Drosophila melanogaster: one gene and its partners. The protein of the gene in region 3 interacts with the protein of the main gene of each other region in a pairwise test. Each region holds a gene or a part of one and is shown on either strand. Other genes may lie near its edges.

Region 1 (10,233 bases), 7.4 Mb from region 3:
AAGGGGCGGCAATGCCAGCGGCATCGGGTACTCCTCTTTCAAACCTGTCGGTGGCGGCAAGGAGAGAAGTGAAGGAATCCCAGTCTGACCAGTGGCCAGGCTGAGGAAACGGGAGCTACTCGCGCTGAGACTACTGCTGGAACTTAAGCTGCTAGCCGCATTGCCGCTTTGCGTGACCCCCGAACCAGCGGCCAGACTCAGATTAATGGTGGAATTGGTGGTTGTGGTGCTGGTCTGCTGATTGCTGTGCTGGCACATCGTCGAGCTGCCCGTCGCAGTGGCCGCAGCGGCCAGATACAGCTGCAGGGTGGACGCGTACGAAGGCGTTGTGCTCAGCGCCTGGTGGCCGCCCATCGAGGGAAAGATGAAGTTGGGCAAACTGGACAAGTTGGGCGTCGGCTGCAGCGAAGCAGCTGCGGCGGCTGCCGCAGCAGAGTGACCACCAGGTGCCGGCGCCTGGGGGATGTAGGCCGAGGGCCAGACGAAGGCCGCCGCAGCCGCTGCCTGCTGGAACGGATCTGTGGGCGTTAAGAGGGGAAAATTTGATATGCCTGCTGTGCATGGTCGTGGTAGCGATTCAGTTAAGTCGGAGTTTCAAGTTCGGGTGTTTTCGGGAGTTTGAAGTTTTGGAGTTTGGAGTTGTCGGGGGAGTGGCGGTGGGAGAGAAGCGCAGTTTAAAAGCATGAATTAGTTTTATTTTGGCGTATCGAAGTTTCGAAATCAAATTAACCGAGAACACCTAGGTAGGTAGGTGTCCCGGTGTGCTGGCATGCGGAGTGCGAATGGCGGAGATCGTCGCCGATCATCTCGGCTCACTTACCGAGCGCTGTTGGGCCGGCCGGCAGCAGCACCACCTGTCCGCGACTGGCCTCCCGCGAGTACTGCAGGCCCACCGTGGCGGGCGACATGGAAATCACTGATTCAATGGGTAATGCATCTACAAAACGCAACGGAAAAGAGAGAGAACCAAAATAGAGAGGTGGAGACAGAGTGTGACGGTGAGCACTGATTGTTCATTTTTTTTTCACATTTTGCATTTATCAATTTCTGCCGGGGATCTACTTGTAGCATGCTCTAAACGTGGACAACTCACTTGGATACTGCCAGAAAGTGGAGGGTGCCCGGTTCACACCCGCTGCACTCAGAGCCAGTTCCTCGGCGGTGGCTGTGCCGGTGGTCATCAGGTCGCCGTTGCCAGTAAAGTACAAATTGCCGCAACTGGTGGCACCTGAAAGTAAAAAGCAAAAAGGATTCGTTGAATTTTGGGCGCTTTTTTTTCCTTAACCATTGATTCTCAAATTGAATTCTGGGAAGAGATATGCCAACCTATTCGTTTGGCGTTCGTTTGTTTAATAAAGTTTCGGGCCTGCCGTGTAACTTGTAAGTTGTAAGCGAAGATGTGTATGTATACGTGAAATATTGCAATGTCCTTGAACTATGCATTTGGTGACCGCGTGCGCCCAAACCACCCAACCGCCCACCACTACGCCAACCAGGCAACTATCACACATCCCAATCGTTTCGAATAACCCACCCCCTTCCGACACTGTGGCTGGATAATTTCTACAAAAATTCGATTAAAACGTACGTGATGCCCTGTAATTGGATTACATTATGGGTTCTGAATTGGGAAACCCACCACCGCACTCGAATCGAAATGAATGACAAGTATTCGACAGTGTCCCATCTCCGCAAACGCAATTAGAGCTACATCTTTTGACAAGTGATTTGTTTCGGACCGAGAAACTACCCAGGCAAACGTTTATAAATAGCATGTGACTTGTGGCAAGGAAAGGAAAAAAAAAAAAAATAATAACCAGCGGCACGTTAGGAAGACTCTTCCATATGGTCGTCTACTGAATCCAATTCGGCGTGTCATGTTGCTAGGTCCTGTGTCCTGGAGGATGATTCGCCCGGTTTGTTACCCAGTTCCCCTTTAGTTTCCCATCCCCGGAGAACCACTCATGCATCCGAGCATCCAGCTCGAGCATCCCTTATAGGTGATGCCTTACTTGTTCCTGGTTCCCCCACACACACACACACACACACACACACAGATTCCAGACTACTTCTAGCAACAGCCACCGCTGCTACCTTGTCTGAAGTCTGAAAAAACAACCCACCCGAGCACCATGAGTCCATGAGTAATCTGTCTTTGGATTCCCGCTCTGATGTTCCTCTGAATGGCGCCCACGCAACTGGAACTTTAGCTTCAGCTCCATTGGAGCATGCTAACTAAGCCGAAGCCCTCGATACTCTGCTCATTGCCGAACCATAAGTAATGCGCCTACTTTATAAGGGTTTTTTTCTGCACTCAAAAGCACTAGAACCCGCTAAAAATATGTATTTTCTGAAGTCATTCTAAAAATCTAAAAGGAAAACGTATTTGATGCATGAAAATAAACACCCTCAATCGAGAATGAGCTGTTCTGTCAGAGTTTCTTACTAAAAGAGAACTTCTGGGAAATACCCAGAATAGATATAAAAACAAAATTTCAATCTGTTTTTGCATTGGATTTTTATAGCAGCGTTGAACTTCTAGTTTAATAGATATATAAAAATAAAAACCCCCGCAAAAAGTAGCTTGTGACTTCAATTTTATCAGAGTTGATAATAATAAATGAGTAAATGGAGATTCCAGGTAAAAATAACAAAAAATAAGTGCAACTTTGTAAAGTCAAAGCAATACAAATTATATATTCATTTAGTTAAGTGTAATGATTCATTTCCCTGCCATCATATTGCTCTAACCATTTATAGACGTTATCATTTAAAGAATAACATGAAATTCCATGTAGTGATTAAAACAAAGTACACAGTTTCCTGTACTCTTGCTCTTTGATTAAGGCTATGGCACATCTGGTACTATTTTGTAAATAGATTGATATGAAAAAGTAACCCATCCAAGATCATAAAGTTCATGTTCGTGTCATGGGCATGGTTGATTATTTCACCATTAGCAGACTTTAAAAATAATCCGGAAAATGTAATTCGACTGGCTACGGCGACAAAACACACCCCCAAAAAAATATAAACATATTTATGTGCCCATCTAAAGAGCAATTTCAAGTCGACCAGAGCCAAGGCGACGCAAAGCCTCCCTTCTCAAATCGCAATGTGTTTCACTTTCGTTTCACTTCCGCTTTAGAAGTTCGTATGATTTACCACCGGGTTTCCTTCTGCCCGCAAGGGAGGATGGATATGGGGATGAGCCGTTTTGAGTCGAATCCAGTCGATTCGGTGGCTGTCACAACAACGACAGCCGCACAACAGGCGGCCATCATATGATTCCTGCCCTCTAAACTCCAGCGGGTTGTTTAAGGCGGAGACGACACCCTCGGCCATTGCTCACTGATGGAATTCCGCACAGCGCTGAACGTTTGTTGGCAATCTTATTAGTGGCATAATTGAACGACGTCCACGTCCTGGCATCATAAGCATCATATAACGTTGTCCCTTGGGAAGCGCCGTTCATTAGGGGCGCTCAAATCTGGTGACTCAATTGAATTAGATGCCCAGAAGTTACACGGATGGAAAAAATGTATGGCACAAGACAGTGATTGTCTTAAATTTACATATCATTTAACACAAATGGAAAACAGCATCTAGAAATATCTAATGATTCTTTAAGTAAATCATTTGGTATCTCAAAGATAGCAGATACCTTAAAACAGTTTACATCCCCTTGAATATCACTAAGAACTTATTATTTCCATGAGATGAAGCTGCATTTCTCTCTGTGTAGCTTGGCACTCACCGAGGTCAGCGACGCGTATGCCGAAGCAGTTCAAGTCCTTGTTGAGTGGTGGCTGCAGCGGCAGCGTAGCGGGGGTGTTGATAGCCGGCACCAGAGCTTCTTGCGGGCGTTTCCTGGCCACGGCGATGCCAATGGGAACGGAGTTGCCTGATAGAATCGTAATTAACCGATGAGGAGTGCTCTTGACCAGTGGCTGGGTGTCACCTACCTGTGGACTTTTCCAATTCCGATACCTTTGGCGAGGGAGCCTCTATTTTGACGAGAGTGGTCAGTGTGGAGGAGGACATGGTCTTGGAGGAGGCGGTCATCGAGGCGGAAGACAGGCCCTGATGCTGCACCTGGTGCTGGTGGTGTTGGTGATGTTGCTGCTGTTGCTGGTGGCAATTGTTCGAGCTTATTTCGGACACCTGGCAGGGTTCCCTCTTGATCTGCACAAAAGTGTACGACGAGTTGGTCTGCTGATGGTGATGGTGCTGCAGGGGAGTGGCCGTCGCCGCGGAGAAGCCTCCGAATTGATCCAGCTGCAGATGGGCGGTATGGGCACCAGGATGCGATACTGCCGCAGTGGTGGGCACCAGAAAAGTAGCCGTTGCTGTGGTGGCGCTCAGAACGTCGGCGGCACTGCTGCTGGCGCCAGGATTAAACGTGGCCATCGGGTAGCGGTGGCTGTGCACATATATGTATGGCTACCGCTCCCTGGGATCTCTAGCCTATACCTATTTCACTATATATCTTGCGGATTCGACCAAAAACTAAACGTCCATTATCCGCACACACAAACACACGTGGACACACACGGCACACGGACACACACTAGCACTGGCCCACACACACACGCACACAGTCTACATTTTTACAGGTTTTCGCTGCCTCTTTCGGATGCAACATTGGCTACTGGGCCTGCGGCAATTCCCCATAAACAAATGACATAATCCAAAGCGACGCGACGCCACTGGGCACTATCCACAGGTCGAGGGAACCGAAGCACCCACCAGTCCAAGTGCGGTTGCCCAAAATAAAACCCTGTGCGATCCGAGATCTTTTCTTTTTTTTTGTGTTTTTTTTTTTTGGTGGGGAGGCGGAGGCGCGACTTTCCTGCTGCGTTGTTGCGTTTTTGCGCGGTTCTTCCAAGTGAATATCGAGCACTGGCTGCAGAGCTATTGGCCAACACACGATCTGTTGCTTATTTATGTTTTTCTTTTGCGAATTGGAATCAAAATCCTCTGGAGAAAAGTCCACGGGACGGACAAAAAAAGAAGCAGCGAACTATGTTAAGTTAACAGCGATATAACAGGGACTATTCGATTTTATTGCTGCCTTGTCGATGATTCACCAGCAGGCGTTAGGCATTTTTAGCAGGACTGGTTTGGCCATCGGCATTTCTGCTATCGATAACATCCAGAGCGCGCAATTTAAAATATTATAAAATATTTGAAATATTTTTTTTTTAATAATTATCATCTCACAGATGAATGTCAAATTTTATTTCCCAGCACATAATAACAATTAAAAGTCGCCTAGAAATGCATATGGAATATAAAAGTCAACGAACGCACTAACTAATCCAGCATTTTGCGTATCATATAGTTCAAAATGCCGCCATTCTTGTAGTACGTTATGTCCACCTCGGTGTCGAAACGCAACGTGGTCTCAAAGACATTGCCATCAGCATCGACCTGAATCCTCTGGCCCGGCTTCAGTTCGCCCTCGGGCAGGACAATGTTGTACACCTCCCTGCCACTCAGTTTCAGGGTATCGGCGCTCTGGCCAGGCAAGAACTGCAGCGGAATGATGCCCATGCCCACCAGATTTGAGCGGTGAATGCGCTCGTACGATTCAGCAATCACCGCCTTGATGCCCAGCAGAAATGGCCCCTTGGCGGCCCAATCACGTGAGCTGCCACTGCCGTAGTCCTTGCCTACGACCAGAACCAAAGGTGTTCCTTCGCTCGCATACCGTTCCGCCGCATCGAAGATGTCCATCTCCTCGCCACTGGGCACGTGCAGTGTGCTGGGTCCCGTCTTGGATGCCAGTTTATTGACCAGACGGATGTTGGCAAAGGTTCCGCGTGCCATCACCGCATCATTGCCACGTCTGGATCCATACGAATTAAAGTCGCGCGGCGTTAGACCCCTTTCCGACAAATAGCGCGCTGCCGGTGACTTTCGTGCAATGGATCCGGCTGGCGAGATATGATCGGTGGTCACTGAATCACCGAGAAGCAGCAGACAGCGAGCCTTCTCGATACCTTTAAGTTTGGGCAGCGCACGAGTCATACCCTCGAAGAACGGTGGTAGTTTGATGTATGTTGATATTTCACTCCATGGATACAACTTGCTATCCGACACCTCCAACGTTTGCCAGTCCCTGGATCCCAGTTGAATTTTGCCTGTGATAGCGGACACAGTTAGCCTAGAGCTGCGGAAAAATCTTAGTCAGCTAGCTATACTCACTGTACACCTCCTGGAACATGGCGGGAATGACGTGCTTATGCTCTACCTCCTGAATCTCACTGCGCGTTGGCCAGATATCGCGCAGGAACACCTCCTTGCCGTTGGAATCCACGCCCAGCGGTTCGATCTCGAAATCAATATCCACACGGCCGGCAATCGCGTAGGCAATCACCAGCAGCGGACTGGCCAGATAATTGGCCCTAGTATTGGGATGGATGCGACCCTCGAAATTGCGATTGCCCGACAGGACGCCACAGCAAACCAGTCCGTTCTTCTCGATGGTGTTCACTACGTTCTCATCGAGCGGGCCCGAGTTGCCAATGCAGGTCATACAGCCATAGCCCACAATGTCGAAGCCCAGCTGCTCCAGATAGGGAATCACACCGGATTCCCTCAGATAGTAGGTAACCACGCCAGATCCTGGTGACAATGAGGTCTTGATATACGGCAAAATACTCAAGCCCTTCTGCACGGCATTCTTGGCCAGCAGACCAGCGCCCAACATCACCGAGGGATTCGAAGTGTTCGTGCACGAGGTGATGGCGGCAATCACAACAGATCCATGACCTATCTTATAGCTCTTCCCATCGTCCCATTGGAATTCACCACTTGCAGCCAATGCACTCGGTGGTATGGCGAATCCCTTGAAGCCGACAGGACTTATGAGGCACGACTTGAAGTCTTCGCACATGCTGGAAACTGAAACGCGATCGTGCGGTCGCTTGGGCCCCGAAACCGAGGTCACCACGGTGGATAAGTCCAAAGTTACAGACTGCAGGGTAAAAAAGTGATTCGTTAGTATGTCTTTGCATTGGAAAAACAGAATCTCACTTACCTCCGTGTATTGGGGATCCTGATCCACAAGGGAATAGTCACGAAGTTGTCGAGTGGCCTTCAAATACTTCCGGATAATATCGATTTTCTTCTCGGAGCGATCTAATGATCCACATCCATGGATATCAAGTAATAAATTTAGATAATTTTTAAGATTGACTCACTGGTTTGGCGCATGTAACTCAGCGTGTTTTCATCGATTGGGAAGTAACCCACAGTGGCTCCATATTCCGGACACATGTTGCTGATGGTGGCGCGATCCGCGATGCTGAGCTCTGCCACTCCGGGGCCGTAAAACTCCACGAACTTGCCGACGACACCAAGCTGACGCAAATGCTTGGTAATGGTCAGCACCAGATCGGTGGATGTGGCCAGAGGGCCCAGTTTGCCCTCCAGCCTGTAGCCAATCACCTCTGGCAACAGCATGGAAATGGACTGGCCCAACATTACGGCCTCCGCCTCGATACCGCCAACACCCCAGCCGAGAACACCTAATCCATTGATCATTGTAGTGTGGGAGTCAGTGCCCACAACGCTATCCGGATAAAGGATCTTAGATCCGTCCGCTGAACTGTCGCTTTCGAAAACCACTCGGGCCAGATACTCCAGGTTAACCTGGTGCACAATGCCAGAGCCGGGTGGCACAATTAGCATATTGTCAAAAGCGCGAGCTCCCCATTTGAGGAAGGTGAATCGTTCCTTGTTGCGCTGGAACTCTAGTGACTCGTTCTTGGTCAATGCGTCCGAGGAGCGAACGAAATCCACCTGAACGGAATGGTCGATGACCAGGTCGGCAGGGCAGATGGGATTGATTTTCTCAGGATTGCCGCCCAGCTCGCGGACAGCATCCCGCATGGCAGCAAAATCCACGACGGCGGGAACGCCAGTAAAGTCCTGAAAGCAGGGAATATCTTAAGAAGTCACATACAAACATAATCTATGTGATGCAATAATCCACACCTGCAATATAACACGAGCTGGCTTGAAGGAGACTTCCACATCGCTGGTTTCCTGCTTCAGCGATGGAGTCCATCCCAGGATGCTCTGCACATCCTTCTCCAGCACATGAAAGTTGTCACAGTTGCGCACCGCTGATTCCAGCAGAACGCGAATGGAAAAGGGCAGTGACTCTGTGGGGGGTTAATAATATTCATAAAGATAACAACAATAATGATAACGAACAACAATAACGATTACCAACCATATTTGCTGTCGATGGAGGGCAGATCAAAATACTTGTAGACGTTGCCGTCCTGGGTGAATGACTCCTGGAACTGGGCAAAGGGATTGGCGCCTGCAAGGAAGACAGGATTAGCGTACAGATCAAATACTCCTTTTTCCAATTAAATCCCACCGGAGCCGGACATTGTGGAAAAATTAAACAGAAAACCAAGCAATGTGATATAGAGATGAGCGCGTGAGGAACCGCTACCAGGCAAAACTTGCTCATCACTAACGCAAACATTATATTATCGATAACTGAACATGAAAACAAACCGGTACACAGTAAAAAATATTTATTTATTACTTAAAATGAAACATTTGTAAATTATAGTGGAATAATTTATCATTTTTGTGATTCGAAAATAATATTGGATATAATATTGGATTGATTGCTTTTTTATTTTAGTTCAAAATAAGGTATTTAAAATAACTTGTTTGCATGTCTTTAAACGCTTTTCCCTTCCTACATGCTAATTTCGTTAAATAAACTTAAATATTAATTATGTTTTCTGCGGTTTATTGCAATAGTTACATGGTAGGCTTATTGTAATGTCACGTAGTATAATTGGTATTTGTAATCTATATAAATAATATGTATAGGGGATTATCATCTAAAGCTGCGTCGGGATGCAAAGCCTGTTTTATGGCGCAAGCAATTTGGCAGCGGGGATAACAAGTCTGTGATGGACGTCTACAGGTAGATTCGTCGCAGGTCCTTCGGCGTGGTAATCGAGTTGCACTGCGGGCACAGCTTTCGCGCGCCGAGCGTCTGCAACCAACACTGCTCGCAGTGGACGTGCCAGCAGGACACGGAGATGGCGGGATTCTTGTAGTCGTCGATGCAGATCAGGCACTTGTACTTGCCCTGCGCCTGCTTTTCGTAGAGCCGCAGCTTGGCCTTCAGCGATTCGATGATCTGCTGCTGGTTTTGGGAGGTGGATCGCGTGGACCGCGACGTAGACGGCTCCTCGCTGGCTGGTGGAGCCTCCACGTTGCTTGTGCTGGCAGGCTCTTGCTCGGTGGCTTCGCTGGAATGGTTTGGCTTGGGCCCATCGCTGGAGGAGATAAGTCGGCGCACGTAGCTGGTAACATCCGCCTCGGAAACATTTCCCTCTGTGTCCTCGTTGACCAGTGGGATCACATCGCCCTCGCCATACTGCGTAGGACCATAGATGTGAGTGTCATCCTCGTCCACGTTGAGATCTTCGTCCTCGTCGTCCTGCGCCTGCTGACTGCCATTGTATTTGATTCTCTGGCCCAGGCCCAGGGCGGAATAGCCTCCTTGCACGAGAGTGGAGACGCGAATGCGCTTCTGTCCCGCCCACTCGTACTCTTCATATTCCTCGCTGTCCTCCGAGTCCTCACTCGAATGCCGCTCACCATTGGCCTGACCATTGCGGCGGCTCTGGCGCAGGCAATGATTAACATGCTCTTGGATGTTGGACTGCGGAAAGTTGTGGTTGCACACGGGACAGGTGGGTTGGCTCGATTCGGCAGCAGCTACGGACGGAGTTGCTGCAGCTGGAGGAGGAGCAGCTGCTACCGTAGGATTTACAGTTGCTGGTGGGGCAGGAGAAGCCGGACGCTTCCTGGTGCGCTGGCGCTGACGGGCCTGCCGATTGCGCTGCACCCGCTGGAACACGCTCCACGGTTGTCTGCCCCCCGATACCGAACCGGATTCCTCGGACGCGGTTGCTCCGCTAGTTGGGGTCGGTGGAGTGACAGCGCTAATGGGATTGTGCAATCGCTCCATCTCCACTTGGCAGTGATCGGCCACCTGACTGCGCTTGATCTTCACGTCGCATGTGGGACAGATCACGTCGTCGTCGCTGTTTCTGCTCAAGTGCTGGGCGAAGTTCTCGCCGTTGGACACCGTGTCCGTAGCCATCGATTCCTCGGATCCACCGCGGACTCTTAAGGGTAAACGAAGTTAAAAGATTCTGTAGTCGGATTTTGTTTTGTTCG
Region 2 (10,233 bases), 3.7 Mb from region 3:
CCGTTGTCCAAATTGCCAAAAATGCTCGGCTTAGTTGTCTCGGATTTGTTAGCCCCGGGCGATGCAAAACCTTCGCCTAGGGGTTTCGATAGGCTTCCGAATACCGGTGTCGGTGCAGCTGCAGCGGGCTGAGTGGTGCTACCTCCAAAACTGAATACAGCAGGCTTGGCGGCAGCTGCATCGCTGCCATTTGTTGTCGGAGTTCCTGAACTTAAATTGTTCGATTTACCAAAGGAGAACATCGGTTTCACCCCCGTGTCTGCTGCTCCAAATGATGGCATCGGCTGGCCGAAATTTAGCGATACAGTTGTAGTCGGAGCAACTGTAGTCGTCGTTTTGGGTGGTGTCACTCCGAAAGTAGTTGTTGATGTAACCTGTGTCCCAGGATTAGTTGTGCTAACCGAAGTTGTTGCTGGAGCTTCAGTTTTGAATCCAGAAAGGCCGCCTACTGTGGGACCATTGGCAGGCGTTTGTCCGAACGAGAATATGGGCTTTGATGTGGTAGTATTGGTGATATTAGCAATAGTGCTACTAGTGGTATTGGTCGCACTTCCAAACGAGAATGATGGTGCTGCTGTGGATTTTGGTGTGCCAAAACTGATTAGTGGTTGAGATGATGTTGCTGGAGTAACGGGTTTGGTTGATAGCTCAAACTTGGGTGGGATATCTGCTTGTGCTGCCGGGACCTTGTCGATGGGTTTTGGTGGTGTTTGTTCCGTTTTAGCGGGCGGCGCAGGCTGACCAAGCACAAGTTTGGGCACTGAGCCAGTGCTATTCGTATTTGGCACATCTGCTGGCTTTATAACCTGGTTACTTAGTATTATCGGCTTGCTGGGCGCAGAAGTTGATATGGTTGCGGTGGACGTAACGGTCGTAGTGGATGTGGTTACAGGAGCTATGATGATGGGTTTGACGGGAGTAGGAAGCGTCACAGGCGCTGGCGCTGACTTCGGCGCTGGGGCATCTAGTTCGTCCGGCTCACCCAGGTACAGTTCGCCCTTCAATCCACTTAGCATAATGGCTAGTTTGGTCTTGTGTGTGCGTTCTACGCTAGGGTTCTTGGCAGCCAGCATGGAATTCTGCTGTTTAGGCTTCACGAACTGAATGCCTGCATATTCGCCGGCATCTACTTCCGGGCTACTCAAATCGGGTCGCGGCTGTTCCGCTATCGTTTGAGATTGTCGCGCATTGAAGAGTGTAAGCTTAGGTTTTTCCGTCACCTGCGGAACTGCCTTTTGAATGGCAGGAGCCGAAATGGCTCGTGAAGCAGGAACTGCCGCCACAGTCACGACGGGCATGCTCATTGCCTTGCTAACAGCTTCTGCATCAACTTTACGTTGAATTTTGGCAACATTTTCGGGCGAGTTCTCAGGCGAGCTTCCTCCACTAGCTAGTGTGTCGTTTTTGCTGTGCTGAAACCTTTCTCGCATGTCCAACAGCTTCCTCTTGTTGCTGTGACGGCAACTGGAACTCAGCGAGGAAGTGATGTCGTTGCTGTAGCTACAATTGGGACGTTTGGCTACCTGCTCCGGAGATTGTGTTGGGGAGATGGTTCCATTCGAGTTCATATGTTGCAATGCAGGAGAAGCAGCCGACAAAGATGTCGAATGATGCCTGAGCGGAACCGATACCGTCAGCTCTCGTTGCCTTTTAAAGGACTGATTCTGTTGTTGCTGCAAATTACGTAGTTTCTGTTGCTGACGGTGATGAGCCACAAAGTCCACAAAGTCCACGTTTTGCTGGCAACTCCTTTTCGTGTAGTCTTGAGCCTGTTGCGTATCCTGAAAGCAAGCCAAGTGTAAGCCGGTGATCTTCTCATAGGATGATTGATGGCTTATACTTACTTCAGTGTTGATGCGCTTTCGGGAGATCTCCTTAAGCTCCTCCAACACGCTTCTAGTTGGCTCGCTCTCATGCTGTGGATGAGGTGGGTGCAATATGGGTCGATTCTCTCTCGAAAGCTGCTCCTGTTCGGTGGTCTTTGGCACTAACCCTACCAAGGAGTTGGATCGCAACAGGCTTGACAGCGTGTTTCCGGAATAAAAGCTGCGCTCCGGTGGTGCAATCTGCGTGATCGAAAGCGTCGGCGCCCTTGACTTGTAGGGCAACGGGGAAGCGGGCGCTCTGCGCGGCTGCGTCAAGGGATTGTAAAGATTGCTGGCGGACATGCTGCGTTGCAGACCACTGCGTTCGCTTAAGGCCACGATCCGGGATGACAGTCCGCTGCTATGCACATCGGCAAAGGTTCTGAAAGGTATGAAAATTTGATATTGCACTTTCGTCACATCGTGAAATGGCACACAAGCTTTGACTTACCTGGGATCAACCTGACTGAGGTTCAGTTTCTGTCGCGTTATGGTACTGGACGATGTGGCAGAGCGATTCATCAAGGACCGCTCCGGAGTGCGTGTGCCATTGAGCGAGGTATTCGACCCCTTGGGACTCAGTCCCCTCAGGAAATTACTGGCCGCCGGACGATTGTTTCTGAACAAAGGAGAGCAAATTTGATTAGTAACCGCTTAGAATCCAGTTGGACAGGTGGTGTCTTACAACAGCGACGCGTCAATCCGCGTGGAATCCGCCATGGGTGACATGCTGCTCATGTTAAAGCGACGACGCTCCATGCTGCCGAAGGTCAACAACCGGTATTCTCACAGTGCAGTCGGGCGGAGGGGAACACTTTTGGCGGGTGAATCAAGCTTCGTCGTAAACGATTGTGTGCAATCTCGTTTCTTTCTTTTTTTAGTTTTATTAATTCTAAAGAGAAATGCAATGTGAATTTCATAGGAAATGGTTACTGTGTGACCGTTGGTGAAGCGCCAAAATATACCAAAATCTTTAAGCCTTTGGCTAAATAAACGATTAAAGATAAAAAATAATGTTTAATACTTTCTCCGTCAAATGTATTTGGAAGTTTCGGGCAGACGTGTAAACTTGAATAAAAATTCTTATTTTCACTCCAAATTTATATTGAAATATGTCAGGATTGCCACCTTGGATACTTATTGGCAGGGCTGCACTGCAGCATGTGTCGATTATTAAATCGGGTTAATAAAATTTTATCGCAATTTAAATGTTTGCACTCCAATTAAATGAAAACATTGCTTTATTTCTTATATCTAATACTTGTTTTTTAATTTAAATACTATATCAGCTTATAATTGTAGTACCTCCGCACCAATGGTTTTCGCTTTTGCAGTGTGAAATTTAGATCGCAGATGGGCCTTTAAGTGAGTGTTGCGCTGGAAGGATTGTTTGCAGATGGTGCAGCTGCAAAGGGAATTGTATTAAATTTTGGAATACCAACGCCTAGTCAAAAAATACTCACGCAAAGGCTCGCACTCCTGTATGGATTAGTTCGTGCCGCTTGCGTCCCGAAGCTGACTTAAAACATTTATCGCAATGATGACAGCTGTAGGGTTTGGCATTGGTGTGAGTCCTAGAAAGGATTTTTTTTGGTTTGAGCTCAGAAATGTCCGAATCCGTAGTGGATACAAGGATACGTCCCTTACCTTTCGTGGATGAGGCGAGTGTTGCTATTGTGAAAGGACTTGGTGCAAAAGCGGCAGTCGTATGGCTTCTCGCCCTGGTGAATGATTCGTTGGTGCAGCGTCATGAGATGGTCGGTGTAGAACCGCTTGCCACACTGCTGGCAGGCGAAGTTCTTATTGCCCGTGTGCCGCAGCATGTGAAGCTTGAAATTGCTTTGGTCGGTGAATTGCCGGCCGCACTGTTCGCAAACACACTCGCGTTTACGCTGCAGTCGCTTACGCTCTATGATCTGCTCCTCGGTCATATTTTTCCACGTAACGTACTGTTTTTTCCGCTTGGGTTTTGTGGTCGCTGGCTTCGTTGACCGACCTGCTGCACTCTTCGATTCGGGCAGCGGTGTGTTTGGGTTCGATGATACTTCATATTCGTTTATAGTTTCATTGAAATAGGAACCGTTTTGGGGCTCCATGTAATCGTTGTTATCCGAGTTGCTGTCGTCGTTGCAAATGCTCTCAAGTTCTTTCTGTACACTTGAGATCAGAGATTCGACATCTTGAGAATCCTCTTCGGCTACTTCAGCCATATCTTGAAGCGCATCAACATCTTCAACAGAATCAATATAATTATCCTCATCCAGATCATGATGAGCATCACTATCATGATCCAAAACTTCTTCTGGGGATTCCACAATGTATTCATCGACTTCCCCGAATGGATCGTTCAGACAATCCGGCGGTGATGCCATCTCCTCAACATCTTCAGCCGGTTCCTTCGCTTCGGGAGATCTACGACGATGGACGAGCTGCTTCTGCGTTAGGATGCACCGCTCCCGGAACAAAATCGCTTGGTTCAAGTCAAGCGTGCAGCAGGCGCATATGCTGCTGGGCAGCTCTGGATCGTTGTGGAGCTGCAATCACAGAAAATGCTGCACAAATCAAATGGAAACCATTTTTCTTACATACTGTTGTGCCAGTGACAAGATTTATGTCTTGCAGCATCTTCTCGTTCTCAATATGAAAGAGATTCTTGGGCATTTTATTGTAGATGATGCTGCCGCAGGTCCGGCACTGGAGCGCCATAATGTTAGTTGAAAATCAACCGAAGTTTAGCCCAACTTCAGTTTAATTCGAATATAAACAACCAATTGTTTTGTAAACGCATCCACTACACATATGTATGTATATATATTGTGATGCAACAGCTGGTTTTATTATCGACAAAATCGATAAGTGCGGCAATGCCATTGTGTGACTTAAATGATTTAAAAAGTGCAGTAAACCATTATGGTACTCTTATTAAATGAGATTATAAAACATATTTGTATTTATGTTACTTCATAAGGTACTAATCCCTGTGCAAAAACTCTAAACAGCGTTTATGCGTGCAAAAGTTAGAGTGACCATGCAAATAGCTTAACGACACATTTCGCATAAGCTGCTCGAAACGTAAACAGTAAACAATTATTCAAAAACAAATCAAAGTCGAGATGCGAATTCTGAATTGCCGCATTTGCTCTAGATCAGATGCCCCAATAGACCTTTTTGGTCCAGGAAACGGTCATCTAGTTCGTCAAATTCACTCCATTACTGGGGTGGAGGTAATATGTCTAAAAATATTCCTTAATCATGGCACTTAATTTGCTATTTATACTTTCCAGCTAAGCTGCAAGAAAGAAATATCCGGCCAAATGTGCACGACTTGCCTGGACAATCTGCAGGCAGCCATTAAGTTCCGCCAGCGCTGCATCATTGCCGAGAAACAGAATCTGGAAAGGATTGAGTGCGACAGCAAGGATTGCTCCACAGATCCAATAATATACGAAGACATCGATGATAACCAAATTGAGAGTGAGTTGGACGAGTCCATTCTATGTCCTGAAGTCAAAGATCTTCCAATGCCAAGTGCTGAAAAGGTCTCAGCACCGACTAGTTTGAACCATCAAAAGTCAATTGGAGGAGGTACTGGTCCATATGTATGCCCTGATTGCGGAAGGATCATTAACAATAAGTCAAACTTTCAAGAGCACACGCTCCGGCACACAGGCATCAAGAATTTCCACTGTGTTTTTTTGTAAATTATCCTTAACCTCCTTTGGGCTAGTGCACCTAAGATACGATTTTTCTCCTCAGGAATTGTGAAAGGAGCTTTGCAACTCGAAAGGAACTGACTAGCCATACGCGTATCCACACGGGCGAGCAGCCATACGTGTGCGTCTACTGTCCACGTCGGTTCTCCTCTTCAGGCGCTCGCCAGGAGCACCATCGCCGCCATCGGAACGAACGCCGCTACGAGTGCGACACGTGCAAAAAGAGTTTTGTAAGCTCCGGATGTCTCAGGAAGCACAAGATGATCCATGTGGATGCGCGGAATCACTAGTGGGCATTTCGATTTCTGCCAACTCTGCACATTATTTGTATTACACGTTTCAACACACTTTGATTTTACAGCTGCTACGTATGTCAGAAGCACTTCAAACGAATCTCCCATTTGATGACCCACCTGTCCAGCAATATTCATAAACGCAAAGAAGAGAAACTCACGGAGCTAGCCATTGAACAATGAAGCTGCCTATCTAGCCATTACACTAATTAGCTATCGGTAAGAATTCTAAAATTCCGCGTCCTTTTCTTTAACAAGGTAGACGTACATTTAAGTACAGGTATTCGCATAAATCCATTTTATGCGAATATCTAGCATATTTGGTTTTACTTTTTGTTTCCCTAAGGAATAGAAGAAGAGCCGCATCCCTCCCGACTTCCAAACGTTTTTAGATTTTGATGTAAAACGTTACAAGTTATAAACCTAAAAAAACAAAACATATTTACTTGTCCAAAAAAAGAAGATTTAATTAATCCTGTGCCATTCGATTATTATTCCATGTTGTAGCTTCCACAAACGGTAACAAAGTCTTCGACAGAGCACAAAGAAAAGAAACAATAAAAAACGCACACTCATTTAATGGCCAAAATGATGTTAAAACTACCAAATAAACGCACAAAATCAAAGATTGTAATCGTGTTCCAATTTTTTTCTCGAATATATGGACGTAATAAAAAACATTACAAAAAATATTTGTGTTTTTGAACAAGTTCTTTAACCAAATAGTAATAAATCAAATCCGATTATTTTACACATCCGGTCTGACCATTTGTACTCTTTTTTATTTTACAATTTTTATATATAATTAAATGTACATTAATGAATTATCTAACAGAAATTGTATTGCATTGTTTTCGACTAATAGCGCCCCGTCCGTTCGTTTTTGTGGTGTATTACAGTCTGTTGGTGGGTCATGGTGCCCAAATGCTGATCCAACTGGTGCTTGCGGGAAAAGGTCTTATTGCAGACTCGACAGCTGAAAAATTAAAGGGAATTTAGGGTTATACATGATTAAAGCAGTCAATGGACCTACAGAAAAGGCTTCTCGCCCGTGTGGGTGAGCATATGGTTTTTTAGCACGTTAGAGTAGGAGAATGCCTTGCCGCATGTGGAGCAAGTGAAAGGTCGCTCGTTTGTGTGTGTTCTGCAAAAGGAACAAGTATAGTTTATATGAAGATTACTATGAGGAATTGCATCTTCACCTTTCATGACGAATATTGGAGCTGCGATCCGCAAACGAGCGGTTGCAATATTTACACAAGAATGGTTTCTCGCCCGTGTGAACGCGGATATGGCGATTTAGCTCGGATGGACCCGCGAAGGATTTGCTGCATATTCTGTAAGCGGAATAAGATTTACATAATATAAAATGGTTCAGATGATAATTTCAGATACTCACTCGCATTTAAATGGTTTCTCGGCCATATGACGACGCATATGAATGTTGAGAGCGGCTCGCTTGGAGTAGATATTGCCGCAGATTTCGCACATAATGTTCGTGGAGGATACTTCGGGAGATGATTTGAAGCTAGCTTGAACAGGCGGACGCTCCTCGCTAAAACTGCGTGGGTGTCCGGAGCTAGCACCGCGAGGTCGGCCACGTCCACGTTTAGTCATCCGCGTTTTACGCACCTTAGCTTTGCGGCAGCGCTCGATGGGCTGGTAGTCGCTATCGGTGCTATTCGGCACCAGCAAGTCATCCTCGTCCAGGTCGTCCACTACAGTGCTAGTCTCGTAGGCCTGCGACGTTTCCCCGACACCATCCTCCAGGGGCTCCTCCATGATGTTCTCCATTCCGATGTCATCCTCGACACCGTCGATGAAGTCGTTGGCCGATTCGTAGATGTACTCAATGTTGTCAGCCACTACGTGCGGCACCTCGTCCGTTGGCTCCGACTTCATCTCGGCCTGACATGGTACCGGGTCAAGTGGGATGTTTATATGTGGCCCATCAACTCTATACGTACCTTGACTACATTGGTGGCAAATGTGCGCTCGCTCTCCTGGCAAAGCTCCCGGAACTTGTGGGCACTGGTCAGTCGCTCCACGCAGCTGTAGCACAACATACTGGGGATGTTCTGCAGCGGCACCAGCTGAAAGCACAGAGTGGGTTAAGTCGCAGGATTTTACATTTGCATCCACATGTACCTTTATGCTGCCCACTTCTTCAATCTTGCGCACCAGCTCCCGGCACTGGGCGTCGTTGTCATCGAACAGGGGCGCCATCGCCTCCGAGTTGATGTCCTCTGTCAAGCAGATTCGGCACAACATGTACTCGGGCATTATCTTGCACGTCCTGGACGTACGTATGCTTGCAATTCTGAAATAAACAAGCGTCTTGGAACTTTTCCCAGGGTTGTCATGTACGCAAAACGATAAATGGCTATCGAACTTGCTATCGGCATATCGATTGAATAATTGATAATAATTAAATCTTAATTTTTTTTTTTAAACTAACAGGTGGGCCCTATTAAATATTTAAGCTTGAGTCACGCAATAAAAATACAGTTTTAGAACTAAATGCAAAAAAATTTGGAATGATAGTTGAAAACTGTTACTAATTCCGCGTACCTGACAACCCTTTTACTTTTAATTCACTGCTCTGGCATTTGAATCGGCATTTGACGCGAAAGAGGGACTTCCTGCGGAAATAACGATGGAAATCAGCATTAAATGGAGCATGTGCCGCACTTGCCGCAAAAAAGGAACGCAATCCACGCTGCAGTCGCTCTTCGAGTCCAATGCCCACAAGCTGTTGATCTCGTATGCCGGCACATCTGTGAGTACTCGATTTCTGTTTGGCTTCCAGTTTACCAGTTACAAATCCTCTCTCCTAGGTGAAACCGGATGATGGACTGCCGGATCAAATTTGCACAGTCTGCTTGATGCAACTGGAGGAGGTGGACAGATTTCTTAGCGCGTGCAAACAATCCGACGCGCACCTGAGAAGCCTCGTTCGTCAAACTCTGTCCTCCGCATCGGCATTTGAGACGCTGGAGGATAAGGACCAGCTTGAACAGAAAAAACGCGCCAGGAAGCAGAACATTTCGGGGAGACTCATCGAAGAGAATCCTATTAACTTTAAGACTCAAGAGAATGCATTGGAAACGACCAAAGATGATGAAATCTTACCCATAAATAAATTTTCAAGCGATTTCGTGTTCGATCTCAACGTGAATGCGGAAAACGAGAAAGACATACACCAGGAGGACTATACCATCAGTGATATGGATTTGGACAGGGAGATCTCCGATCAAAATTACTCCGAAACGTATTCGCAAGAAAGCAGCGCTGCTACGGACAGTATTCAAGAGACAAGCGAGGATTACCATAATCTAGAGCCAAGTGCCGACTACGTGATAGATCTAGGAGTGGCCTGCGAGCCGGACAAGTACAGATGCAAGATCTGCAGCAATACATACCGCTGCTTATCTCAGCTAAATGCACACTCGCAGGTGCACCGCAAGGAAAAGGACCACCAGTGCGAGTAAGTATCCGTGATATATCTTAACATAATATTTCATATATAAAATGTATGATTCAGGGTTTGCCAAAAGACATTCAGAGCCGCCTGCAACCTGAAAACACACATGCGGACGCACACGGGCGAGAAACCTTACCAATGTTGCTACTGTTCGCGCCGTTTTGCCGACAACAGCACTCATCGCAAGCACGAACGGTAGAATGGACAAAAACTATATATATTGTGTACAGCATTTAAGTTCCAATGTTGAATTTCTTCATTTCAGTTTGCACACGAATGAAAGACCCTATGCTTGCAACATATGTGGAAAAACATTCTCTCTGTCCTCCTCTCGTAACGCTCACTACTACCTGCATTCGTCTGAAAAGTCTCACAAGTGTCTTATGTGTAAAAAAGAATTTCGGCTTAAGCACCAACTTACAGCGCACGAGAAGTCTCTTGCGCACCGTCTGATAGCTAAGGAGTACAGCGACGTGGTAGAATAGTTAATAAAAATAGCTGGTCTATTCTGGAAAAGTGGCTTTATACTACTTATAATAGATAACCCTAGTTCCTCAATTAATTTACTATATTAGCTCTCTAACATTTCCGGAGAGCTGGGAATGGTTTGCTCCATTTTGTTGCGGTGGGTTAGCGTTTGCAGGTGAGCTTTCAGCTGGTGCAGCAGAGTGAATGACTTGCAACAGATACCACAGCTGAAAAGTTCAAATTATTAATAAAAAGTGCAAATCACTAGAAAGGATTACTCTCCCTTACTTGTAATTCTTTTGGGCGGAGTGCGAAAGGATGTGATTTTTGAGGATGGCTGTGTGCGTAAAAGTTTTCCCGCACTCCTGGCAGGCATAAGGACGCGTGTTGGTGTGGACCCGTTCATGGCG
Region 3 (10,233 bases):
TGATTTTACTTCTGCTTTTGCTACCCCTACCTTGTTTTGTTTTATTTTAAACCTTAAATTATACTTGACCTTGTACTTTTGTATTTGACGAGATGACAACTTGGACAACACACGCATTGCCGCCTTCTTTTTAGTTTACGTGTATTAAATAGAGAGACAATCAATCGCTGTTATTTATATTTAAAGAGTAAATTCTATGCTAAAACTTTGTATTTTGTCCCCAGCTTAACTGTATTAATAATATGCTAATGTTTACCTTGTTTATAAATATTTAAACGAATTGTCGTGTTTGCAAAACGTTGTGTAATATTTGCCTACTTTTAAGTTGCCGCCACGCCCACCACCACAAACTATAGCCACTCTTTCGATATAGTTTTCAATTCCACAACAAAAAAGACAATTTTAGCTAGCGCACATCATTCCAATTGCGAATCGTCCACCGGTTCAGATAACTTTTATTAAACAAAAAAAAAAAACAAAAACAAAAAAATAAAACAAAATCCAATTTCCACACAACACTAACTAAAAAATTTTCTGATTCTGAATGCCGTGACACCCAAATGAAGATAAAACGAATGCTGCAACAAGAAATGGCATTAAAAATTCTAATTTGATCTATTTACGATTTACATAAATTAATTATTTATACTTTAATATATACCTATACAATACATATACTATACAATACATACCATGCTGCTGCAATTGCACAAATAAAGTATTTTTCGAAAAACGTATGCCCCGCCCATCGATCGTCCAGCGTTTAGTGTTCGCCCCAACCCGACTCTGTACGTGTGCCCGCCCCACCCGCATTTGGCCACCACTGGAGGTTCTATCGCCCTGCTCTCTCTCTCGAATCTGCTCTAATCCGACTTTCTAACCCCTTGAACCACCACCAAACCACGAAATCACGAAACAACCACACCCATTCGCCACGCCAGACGAGATGATCAAAGAGATCGAGCACTATGCCCTCGTCGGCGACCAGCTGGACTGGACCTTCGTGGAGATGATGGGCATGCCGCCATTCTACAACGAGCGCTACCCCAAGCCGCCCACACCGGAGCTCACCGAGGAGGAGAAGGCCGCCCTGGAGGCCGCTGCCATTGCCGAGGCCGAGGCGAAGGCTAGGGCCGAGGAGCTGGCTGCCCTCGGCGAGGAGGCAGGCGCAGAGGCTGGGGAGGGTGGTGCACCGGCGGAGGGCGCCGCTCCCGGCGAGCCTGGTGCAGCAACTGAGCCCGGCGTCGAGGCACCACCGGCCGAACCCGAGAGGATCCCCACGCCGCCACCACCACCACCATTCGAGTACTCCATCGATTTGCCCCCAGAGGGTGCTGAGGTGCCGTACGTTAGGAACGCGGAGCCAGGAGACTTTGCTCCGCCCGCCGAAGCAGCACCAGCTGAAGGAGCCCCACCAGCCGAGGGAGCACCAGCAGCGGAAGGAGCCGCACCAGCCGAGGGAGCACCCGCTGCAGAGGGCGCTCCACCGGCAGAAGGAGCACCAGCACCTGCACCTGCTGAGGGTGAAGCTGCTCCACCAGCACCGGCTGCCGAAGGGGATGCCGCCGCCGCACCTCCACCACCGCCGGCTGAGGGAGAGGCTGCTCCGGCACCAGCCGAGGGCGAAGCACCACCTGCCGAGGCGGCTCCTGCTGCTGAAGCACCACCTGCTTAGAAACCCCGAACATGTTTTATTGCGATCAGTGAAAATAGATGAAAGGATCTCTAGAAGGATCTCGGCGTTCAAGAACTGGCCAAAGTGTTTTCCTTCTCACTAACTATTCAAGCCCCAAACTCCCGAAATATTAATTGATAATCCGAAAATGTAAATAAGCTACGGTGTATATAATTTGAAGTGTTCTTTTCCCACGAGAATGTCATTTTGGTGTTTCGCGCCTTGTGAGCCCCTTCGCTTGCAACTCCTACCCGCCATCGAATCCCTCTGTTTCCCACCCAAGATTATTCAGTTTAATTTTCAATTTACGCTTCTATTCCGTTTCACGTTTTATTTTATTTTTCTCTATACTCTATCCCCCGTCACCATCGCTTGTATTGCTTTTCTCACAAACATCTTCGCATACCGATCCTGAATCGCCATAACCAGACGACCTAATCGTTGAAAAAGAGCGCTATTGCATGATTGGCGACAGCCTGGACGAGGCCTTCGTGGACCTCATTAAGGGTCTGGAGCCGTTCTGGAATCCGCGCAACCCTAAGCCGCCGACTCCCAAGCTCCCGACGCCCACGCCAGAAGAACTGGCCGCCATGGAGGAGGCACGAGCTGCGGCCGAAGCTGCCGCAGCTGCAGAAGCGGAAGCCGCAGAAGCAGCTGCAGCGGCTGGCGAAGCCGGACCAGATGGTGCGCCCGCTGCACCCGGAGAGGAAAAGGCACCGGCCAAGGAACCCACTCCGCCCAAGGAGCCCACTCCTCCGCCACCACCACCACCGCCATTCGAGTACTCGATCGATCTGCCCCCAGAGGGTGCCGAGGTGCCCTATGTCAAGAACTACGAGCCACCACCACCCGGATCCGAGCCAGAGCCAGTGCCAGCCGCTGAAGGAGAGGCTGCTCCGGCGGCGGAGGGTGCTGCTCCTCCGGCTGAGGGTGCTGCTCCACCCGCAGAAGGCGCTGTTCCTCCAGCTGACGGTGCTGCTCCGCCAGCTGAGGGTGCTGCTCCTGCTGCTGAAGGCGCTGCTCCTCCTGCTGATGGCGCCGCTCCTCCAGCCGAGGCTGCCGCAGCTCCAGCTGATGCAGCGGCTCCAGCTGCCGAGGCTGCTCCAGCTGAAGCACCTGCAGCCGAAGCCACCGCCGCCGAAGCTCCTCCAGCTGAAGCAGCGCCCGCCGAAGCGGCTCCAGCTGCTGCTGAAGGCGAGGCTCCCCCAGCTTAGGACCAGCTCGCCACATCCGCGCCAGAAATCGCTGCTGCACTTCGACGAAAGAGAAAACCACTGCTACCACATGCTGCCCTGCTTTTAAAAAACCTAGTTAAGAGCACGTTTTTTATTTTTGAAATAACTCAAAACGAAATTGAATTAAACATTCAGTTAGCCAAAGCATTATAAAAACGAAATGCTGCTTTTATTTTCTGTTCTTGCAAACTTTTTGATTTCCTTTAACCACACAGCTAGCACAACTTTGCGAACTCAACTGCTGGCTATTATTTATTTATTTTATCCGAAACCGAGGTAACTATCATTGGTTATTTTTTAAGTTATAAGTTTTTTGTGTAAAGGTCTCAGTTTGTGTCAGGTTTTAAGTGTAATTTTAATGATTTTCAATGAATTTATTTTTATTAATTTTCGTTCCTTACTCTTGCGTTCTTTTATGATTTCCCAAACAACAACTTGAACAGACGACCTCGTCCTGGAGAAGGAGCGCTACAAGGACATCGGAGACGATCTCGACACCGCCTTCGTCGAGCTCATCCTCAAGGAATAAGCGACAACCCGACCTTGACGGACCCTCGCACCCAGACCAAAATCGATCCGCACAGCTATATTTTTGGGCGGCACACCTTTCGATTGTTTGTTACTGTAGTCGCATAATCGTAGGCCCACTGTACTTGTATCTAGTAGCCTGCACTTTTGATTTGTGTGTTCGTAGATGGATAGTTTGTAGATTGATTTTGATCGCGGACCAATTAGAGGGAAGCATCGATGTAATTGTGTATTTGTTTGACTCAAACGTTTTTTATTTATTATTTGTATCCAAACTAAGCAATAAAGCAATCAACTTAAAAACATAAATCCCTATAAACTTGTCACATTTATTTTGTTTATTCCACCTGCTGCAGACGAGGTGAGCAAAGGTAAGGAAAAGTACAAAACCATCGCCCAGGAACTGGAGTACGCCGATCTCAACAACTACTAAGGGAATGAAATCCACTTCATGGGGAGATGAGCAGCAATCACTATGATGAAGACAAATGGAGTCCGAACGCATTCGACGTCCGAATTACAAATTATTTTTAGCATAACACTTCTTCGCCTAAGCATTCCCAAAAAAAAAACAACTTTCTTACATAAGAGCAAGAGTTTTACAATAAAGTAAAAAATACATTTTTAGCAATTACTATTGAAATTTATATGGAGCCTAAAGTTAAAACGAGTTGTGTAACGAAAAGAAACGCTGCCATTTTCCTTGAAACTAAAATTCCAGCTCGAAAAAGTATGTGTAATATTTTGAATACAAAACCCCAGAAAGCCCACCACTCAATATCGTTAATCAGCATCTTCAAATAAAAAACTCAGTTACGCTTAAGCCAGAGTCAATTTTTCTCAACTTTCTGTTGCTTGTGTGTTTTTATGGCAGTTCGCGAAGTGTATCTACAAAATTTCTATGGCCTTTGTATATGTTTAAACAACAAGAATAGGAGATATATTATTAGAATATATAAACGAAGACATATAAATTAAATTTACACATTTGTCATAGCTTTTGTAATTCTATGAAGCGTGCAAAACAAATATAACAATGTATGTATTTTTCTTTTTCAACTCAATATTTTTACGATCAATAAACTGAAATCATTCTTTTGCATATAAAAAATTTCATGGATTTTTTATTTAAACGGTGGGTTGCATTAGTTAAATAATAAAAATATGCACTGATCATGAATCGAATATAAAGGACATAAAGTGTCCTGTTGGTTTCAATCTGCCGGAATATTGTGTATCCTTATTAAAAGTTAATATTGAAATCAAAATCAAATCATGCTTATATCCCAAAACTTATAGGATGTTTTTATTTGTGTTGGAATAACCATATTTGTCACATGTGTGATATTTTAACTCAACATTAAATATTCTTTGGAGCTACATATATAAAAAAAGTTTAAAATAAGCTTAAAGAAGAAGGGTTTTGAAAAATCGAATTTGAAAACTGAATACGTTTGCTCGCCAATTAGTTGTTTTTGAACAGTTTTGAAAATATGAAGTTTCAAACATTTTCCTAAATCAAGAAGAGCTATAAATCAACTAAAATTTGAAGTTATAAAAGTCTATAAATAAAGTGCACAATATTATTGACTTATGTAGGTTTGGCTTTTAAGTAAAATTTATTGCTGAACGAGAATAAAAAGATCGGGAGTACATATAAGTGTAATCCAGAGACTATGAGACATTTGGTGGAATCTTCTTGATATATAATAGTATTAAAGAAGATGTTACGTCACAGAAATATTGAAAGAAGAAGAAAATTGAACTGGATTTTGAGATGAATTGCTAAATGGATTTAGCGAGGTCGGACATATAAATAAAACCCACCATATATATTTATCTTTTAAATATACCTATATAAAAATATACATATATCTATAGAATTTCTTAGTTTAGAGTTTTGATAACAATTTTTCCATATCGTTACTTAATTGGTTATTAAAATAAATAAATTATAGATTTTATTCTTCAGTTATATAGTAAGTTAAGTGGTTTTGTTTTAGCAAAAAATCGAACGGGGACAATTAACACACAAGAAAATCGGATCAATTGCCTTGCATTCGAGACTTTCGAAAGCAAAAGAACGGCAGGAAAACGCTGGCCGATCAAAATTCCAAATATTTCTCAATATTTTTTTACCGAGCGAAAATAGATTTTCATCTTGTTGGACTTTTGCTCTTGCTGCTTGTGGCTATTTTTGGCCGTGTATCTGACGGATACACGCACACACACAGACAGCGAGAGTGCTGTGAGTAAAATATAAATTGAATTTAGATTTAAGAAGCAGAAAGAAAAGCGCATAAATTTCACGAGAATGCAGCCCAAAAGAGAGAGCATCGTATGAAGCAGCTTTTGGGGGAAATTTCGAGGGAAATTTTCGAGATCGCCGAGCAAAGTTGCGAAAGCGCCATTCCACATATACATTTATTAATGGGAAATTTTTGAGGCGAGAAATTATTCAATACCGCGTTGGTGTGTGCCCTCAGTGTGTGTGAGTTTTTCCGATTTTCCGAGTGGCAGTGTGCGTGTGCGTTGGATCTTGGGGTCGCTTTCTGGGCTAAGCAACTTGGTCAGCATCAGTGTTCTCGGGGTTTCGACAGCGTATAGTGTGTTTGAAACGCTAAGGTTGGTCACGCCAGGATTTTCACCCGACAAGAATTAACTCAAAATAAATATAATTAAATCGCTCGCCTTTGCTGCTAACCAAATTGGTATTTTCAACTGGATTTCGAGTGGATAACAAAATTGTGATAAGTGCATGGCATTCAAAATTATAAATTTTGAATTTTCCCCAAACGGGAAAAAAAAGGAAAACCTTGTTAAACTTAAATAAAATGTGCATATGTATATGTGTCAATTAGCCTGGATATAAAGTTCTACAAAAAGTTAAATGAGTGATCCAAATGTAATGGAAGTGAAAATTGCTATAACTAAAAAAATGAATATCTCTAAAAAACTTAAAATGAACGATCTAAACTACTTGAAAATGGAGATCTTATGATCATTTTTCGGATATTTTCAAAATTCGCTTATAAGGAATTTTGTAACTAAATCTGACGGCACCAATACCATCCAATAAATATCTGTGTGTGTGTGAGAGAATTTTTTTTTGCACACACACACATGAGCTTCATTCGGAAAGCTCTACACGAATGGGACACATATACATATGCACCTTACACACTTATGGCACGCACAATTTTCACACACACAATCACACTCGACCGATAAAGTTTTCCTCGAAGAAAATTCTTTAAAATTAACTGCAGACAGACACCTGCCTGTCACACACACACAGACATACGCATTTATTTTTAACTCTGCCTGAAATTTATACGAAAAAGCTTTTCCGTCTAGCTTTCTGTGATCTCAGAAAACGAAGGCAGTCGAGAACTATAGGTATTTATCCTTGAGATTGTTTTCGAGAGAGATATTTTGGAAAATATTAGAGACGTAGACGATTCCCAGATGCGGATACATATGGTATCTATCTGGGAATATATATATTCAAGGCATAGCCACCCACACAGAATTGTAGATTTCAGAGCGAATATTTCTAGCCATTCGTGAATGCGTCCGAAGGCCGCAAAATTTGCCATCTTTAAGATACATATTCGAACTGATTGAAAGCCCAAGTACCTTTGGCAATCACCAAAAATTTTAATGATGTGAAAACTAAGTAGCTATTTAACATATTATAAGTTATTTAAAGTCTTTAGAAAGAAATCCTTTTTACCTCATAAATCACATATTAAACATTGCTTATGTTTTTTTGGGTACAAAACACACATGAGTATCGCAAGACCTCCAAAAGATCAGCAACTACAACATAAATGACTTTGCCCCACTTTGGGTGGTAGCAACATAGATACACGAATTCGAATACGAATACGCCCACACACCAAATGACCCCAAAGAATTGAATACTTTTCAAATTGCAATCGGTGGCGAGCTATGTACATATATATGTGGGGTATTTCGAAATAATAGGGGGAAACTCTAGAATTACATTTAGCACACAATGTCCAAAAAAGCATTTCTCCTATGCGTGTGTGTGCGAGTGGACTGGATATTTTTTTCTCACATGCAAAAGCATATAAAGTTTATTTTTAACCCCACCGAATCGTGCAGCAAATAAACATATAAACATATAGCTCACCGACGGATCCGGATTCGGATTTTGAGTGGGCGTTTTGAAAATGGAAAATGAAAATTACGTGAGATCTTTTGAGAATGCTCGGCGTAGCCGCCAAACAAAATGTGTTTACATTTAATTCTCAAATTTATTGCACGAACACATATGCACAGCATATAGATATATACAATTTAATTATACCTATGGATAACCTATAGAATGCGCCTGGATCGTTTAAATAAACCGATTTTGTCTTGCAGCGGAAACATAAAAATTCTAGAAGTCACAGTAAAGAAACAAAAATGTATAGTCAAAAGAAAAATCCAAGTTCAAAAAATCTGTAATTTATGAAAGGAAATAAACATTGGAATATCTTAGGACCAACGTATATATGTTATAATATATTATTAAGCGGTTCAAAGCTACAATTAGATTTAAATAAAAAAGTCATACATTTTATTAATTATATAATATTATTATTATTATATTATAGTATATATAATATTCTATGCCTTATGAAAATTGCTCCTTAAAAATTGCACATTAAGGATTCAGTTATTCAGCTTACTCATTTGTATTATTTGGCACAGTGCTTTTTTCCAGTTTTCTTCCCTTGTAAGTCAAAAACAAAAACACAAACACCATGGACGCCATCAAGAAGAAGATGCAAGCGATGAAGCTTGAGAAGGATAACGCCATTGACAAGGCCGACACCTGCGAGAACCAAGCCAAGGATGCCAACTCCCGCGCCGACAAACTGAACGAGGAGGTGCGCGATCTGGAGAAGAAGTTCGTCCAGGTGGAGATCGATCTGGTTACCGCCAAGGAGCAGCTGGAGAAGGCCAACACCGAGCTGGAGGAGAAGGAGAAACTCCTGACCGCCACCGAGTCCGAGGTGGCCACCCAGAACCGCAAGGTGCAACAGATTGAGGAGGATCTGGAGAAGTCCGAGGAGCGCTCGACCACCGCCCAACAGAAGCTGCTGGAGGCCACCCAGTCGGCCGATGAGAACAACCGCATGTGCAAGGTGCTGGAGAACCGTTCCCAGCAGGATGAGGAGCGCATGGACCAGCTGACCAACCAGTTGAAGGAGGCCCGCATGCTGGCTGAGGATGCCGATACCAAGTCCGACGAGGTCTCCCGCAAGCTGGCCTTCGTTGAAGACGAGCTGGAGGTGGCTGAGGATCGTGTCCGCTCCGGCGAGTCCAAGATCATGGAGCTGGAGGAGGAGCTGAAGGTGGGTCCTCAAGAGAAATCCTTCTGTTCTCAAACCACTATTCATGGTGTATTCCCAACTAGGTTGTCGGCAACTCCCTGAAGTCCCTGGAGGTGTCCGAGGAGAAGGCCAACCAGCGCGTGGAGGAGTTCAAGCGCGAGATGAAGACCCTGTCCATCAAGTTGAAGGAGGCCGAGCAGCGCGCCGAGCACGCCGAGAAGCAAGTGAAGCGCCTGCAGAAGGAGGTCGACAGGCTAGAGGGTATGTATCCAACTTCCTACGCCCCTGGCACATTCACTCAGCCATTTTCCGCGGAGGTATCTCTCCACGGGACACCGGAGATGCTGTCCACCGGAAGTGATCCGCCTCGAACGGCCGGATCGCTGGCTTCAACTAATGCTCGCATTGTATTTATCGCCATAAGGATATTAATAATTGTACTTAGTACTCTGCTTTCATTAATTGACGTTCCACATTCACACATCTCGCTCGCTCGCCCTTTTTTTTGAATATCTCTCTATATATATATTTGTATAAATGAACAACAAACAAATGCTTTTTGCAGACCGTCTCTTCAATGAGAAGGAAAAATACAAAGCAATCTGCGACGATTTGGACCAGACATTTGCCGAACTTACTGGATATTAAAAAAGATCACAAACAGAACTCACACAATGCCCTTGCCTCCCCCCCCCCCCAACCGCCCCTTGCCCAACTCCCCCAAAAAAAGGAACACTCTCAGTACATCCCGAATCCCACACAGTTTATTATATATATATATATATATTCTATATTATATTTTTGGAACGATTCCCCCAACAGTTTCAGTGTATTTACCACCCAGCCCAACACGCCACACTTATCTATACACTGTAAATAATCTGTTTAGTCCCGCTTGAATGTGGCCACACCCACACGACCAGTTCCCTACGCCAGTACACTGTAAAAATAAGTTCAGATCAAGCCAAACCAAGTTGCAACTGTAGTTAATACAGGTGAATTTATCAATGTAAATATTGTTGTTTGTATGCCAGATTCTTACCCGTTGTGATGTGGCATGACCTCTTGACCCGTCTCGCCTTCGCACTCTATCTCAGTCTATGTCTCTATGTCTCTCTCTCTCTCTCTCTCTCTATCGTCTCGTCGATCATCAGTGGCTTTCGTTCGAGCCAATTTCGCCCAGGCCTTGGTCGAGGGATTCTCTCAAGGATTGCTGCAACGATTGGTTGGATAGATCATGTCCACATCCCGTAGAGCACCCCATAGATAGTCCTGTCCCCCACCTCCCCTGAAAACCCACGCACAGAACCGCTGACTAACCCAAAAGATCAAAAGATAGAAACGCCTGCCAGAACAGCGCGCCACTAATCCTAATCAATAACTCCATAAACTTGGTACACATGGTGTAAAGTTTGAGTGTTTTTCGTTTCAATTCCAATGTTAA

Evidence for each region.
Region 1: the proteins of Tm2 (region 3) and wge interact in a two-hybrid assay, tested with the Drosophila melanogaster proteins (one large-scale study listed by BioGRID).
Region 2: the proteins of Tm2 (region 3) and CG18764 interact in a two-hybrid assay, tested with the Drosophila melanogaster proteins (one large-scale study listed by BioGRID).

Annotation. Positions count from the first base shown.
Region 1 is NT_033777.3:22,716,114-22,726,346, forward strand, and holds the start of wge (winged eye), read right to left. Parts: upstream 5,038-10,233; 5' UTR 4,411-5,037; coding exon 3,966-4,410; intron 3,905-3,965; coding exon 3,758-3,904; intron 1,229-3,757; coding exon 1,094-1,228; intron 938-1,093; coding exon 821-937; intron 555-820; coding exon of another isoform or gene 552-554; coding exon 1-551. Other genes in the region: Irp-1A (iron regulatory protein 1A), read right to left, coding at 5,317-6,146, 6,211-6,982, 7,046-7,146, 7,209-7,938, 8,005-8,174, 8,246-8,338, 8,399-8,411; RNF220 (ring finger protein 220), read right to left, coding at 8,960-10,156.
Region 2 is NT_033777.3:11,621,332-11,631,564, reverse strand, and holds CG18764 (uncharacterized protein), read right to left. Parts: upstream 4,677-10,233; 5' UTR 4,572-4,676; coding exon 4,455-4,571; intron 4,400-4,454; coding exon 3,513-4,399; intron 3,440-3,512; coding exon 3,329-3,439; intron 3,271-3,328; coding exon 3,156-3,270; 3' UTR 3,113-3,155; downstream 1-3,112. Other genes in the region: CG14712 (uncharacterized protein), read right to left, coding at 1-1,781, 1,845-2,247, 2,317-2,484, 2,551-2,624; CG6813 (uncharacterized protein), read left to right, coding at 4,979-5,089, 5,150-5,562, 5,622-5,867, 5,940-6,054; CG14711 (uncharacterized protein), read right to left, coding at 6,730-6,847, 6,905-7,015, 7,074-7,208, 7,271-7,779, 7,839-7,964, 8,020-8,154; Zaf1 (ZAD and architectural function 1), read left to right, coding at 8,528-8,650, 8,709-9,358, 9,416-9,550, 9,621-9,840; CG14710 (uncharacterized protein), read right to left, coding at 9,927-10,050, 10,112-10,233.
Region 3 is NT_033777.3:15,304,237-15,314,469, forward strand, and holds the start of Tm2 (tropomyosin 2), read left to right. Parts: upstream 1-6,008; 5' UTR 6,009-6,063; intron 6,064-6,440; exon of another isoform or gene 6,441-6,837; intron 6,838-7,798; exon of another isoform or gene 7,799-7,958; intron 7,959-8,139; exon of another isoform or gene 8,140-8,163; 5' UTR 8,164-8,216; coding exon 8,217-8,810; intron 8,811-8,872; coding exon 8,873-9,050; intron 9,051-9,354; coding exon 9,355-9,437; 3' UTR 9,438-9,784; intron 9,785-10,233. Other genes in the region: Tm1 (tropomyosin 1), read left to right, coding at 3,354-3,439. UniProt on the Drosophila melanogaster protein: Tropomyosin, in association with the troponin complex, plays a central role in the calcium dependent regulation of muscle contraction. May also regulate motor systems required to maintain nuclear integrity and apico-basal polarity during embryogenesis.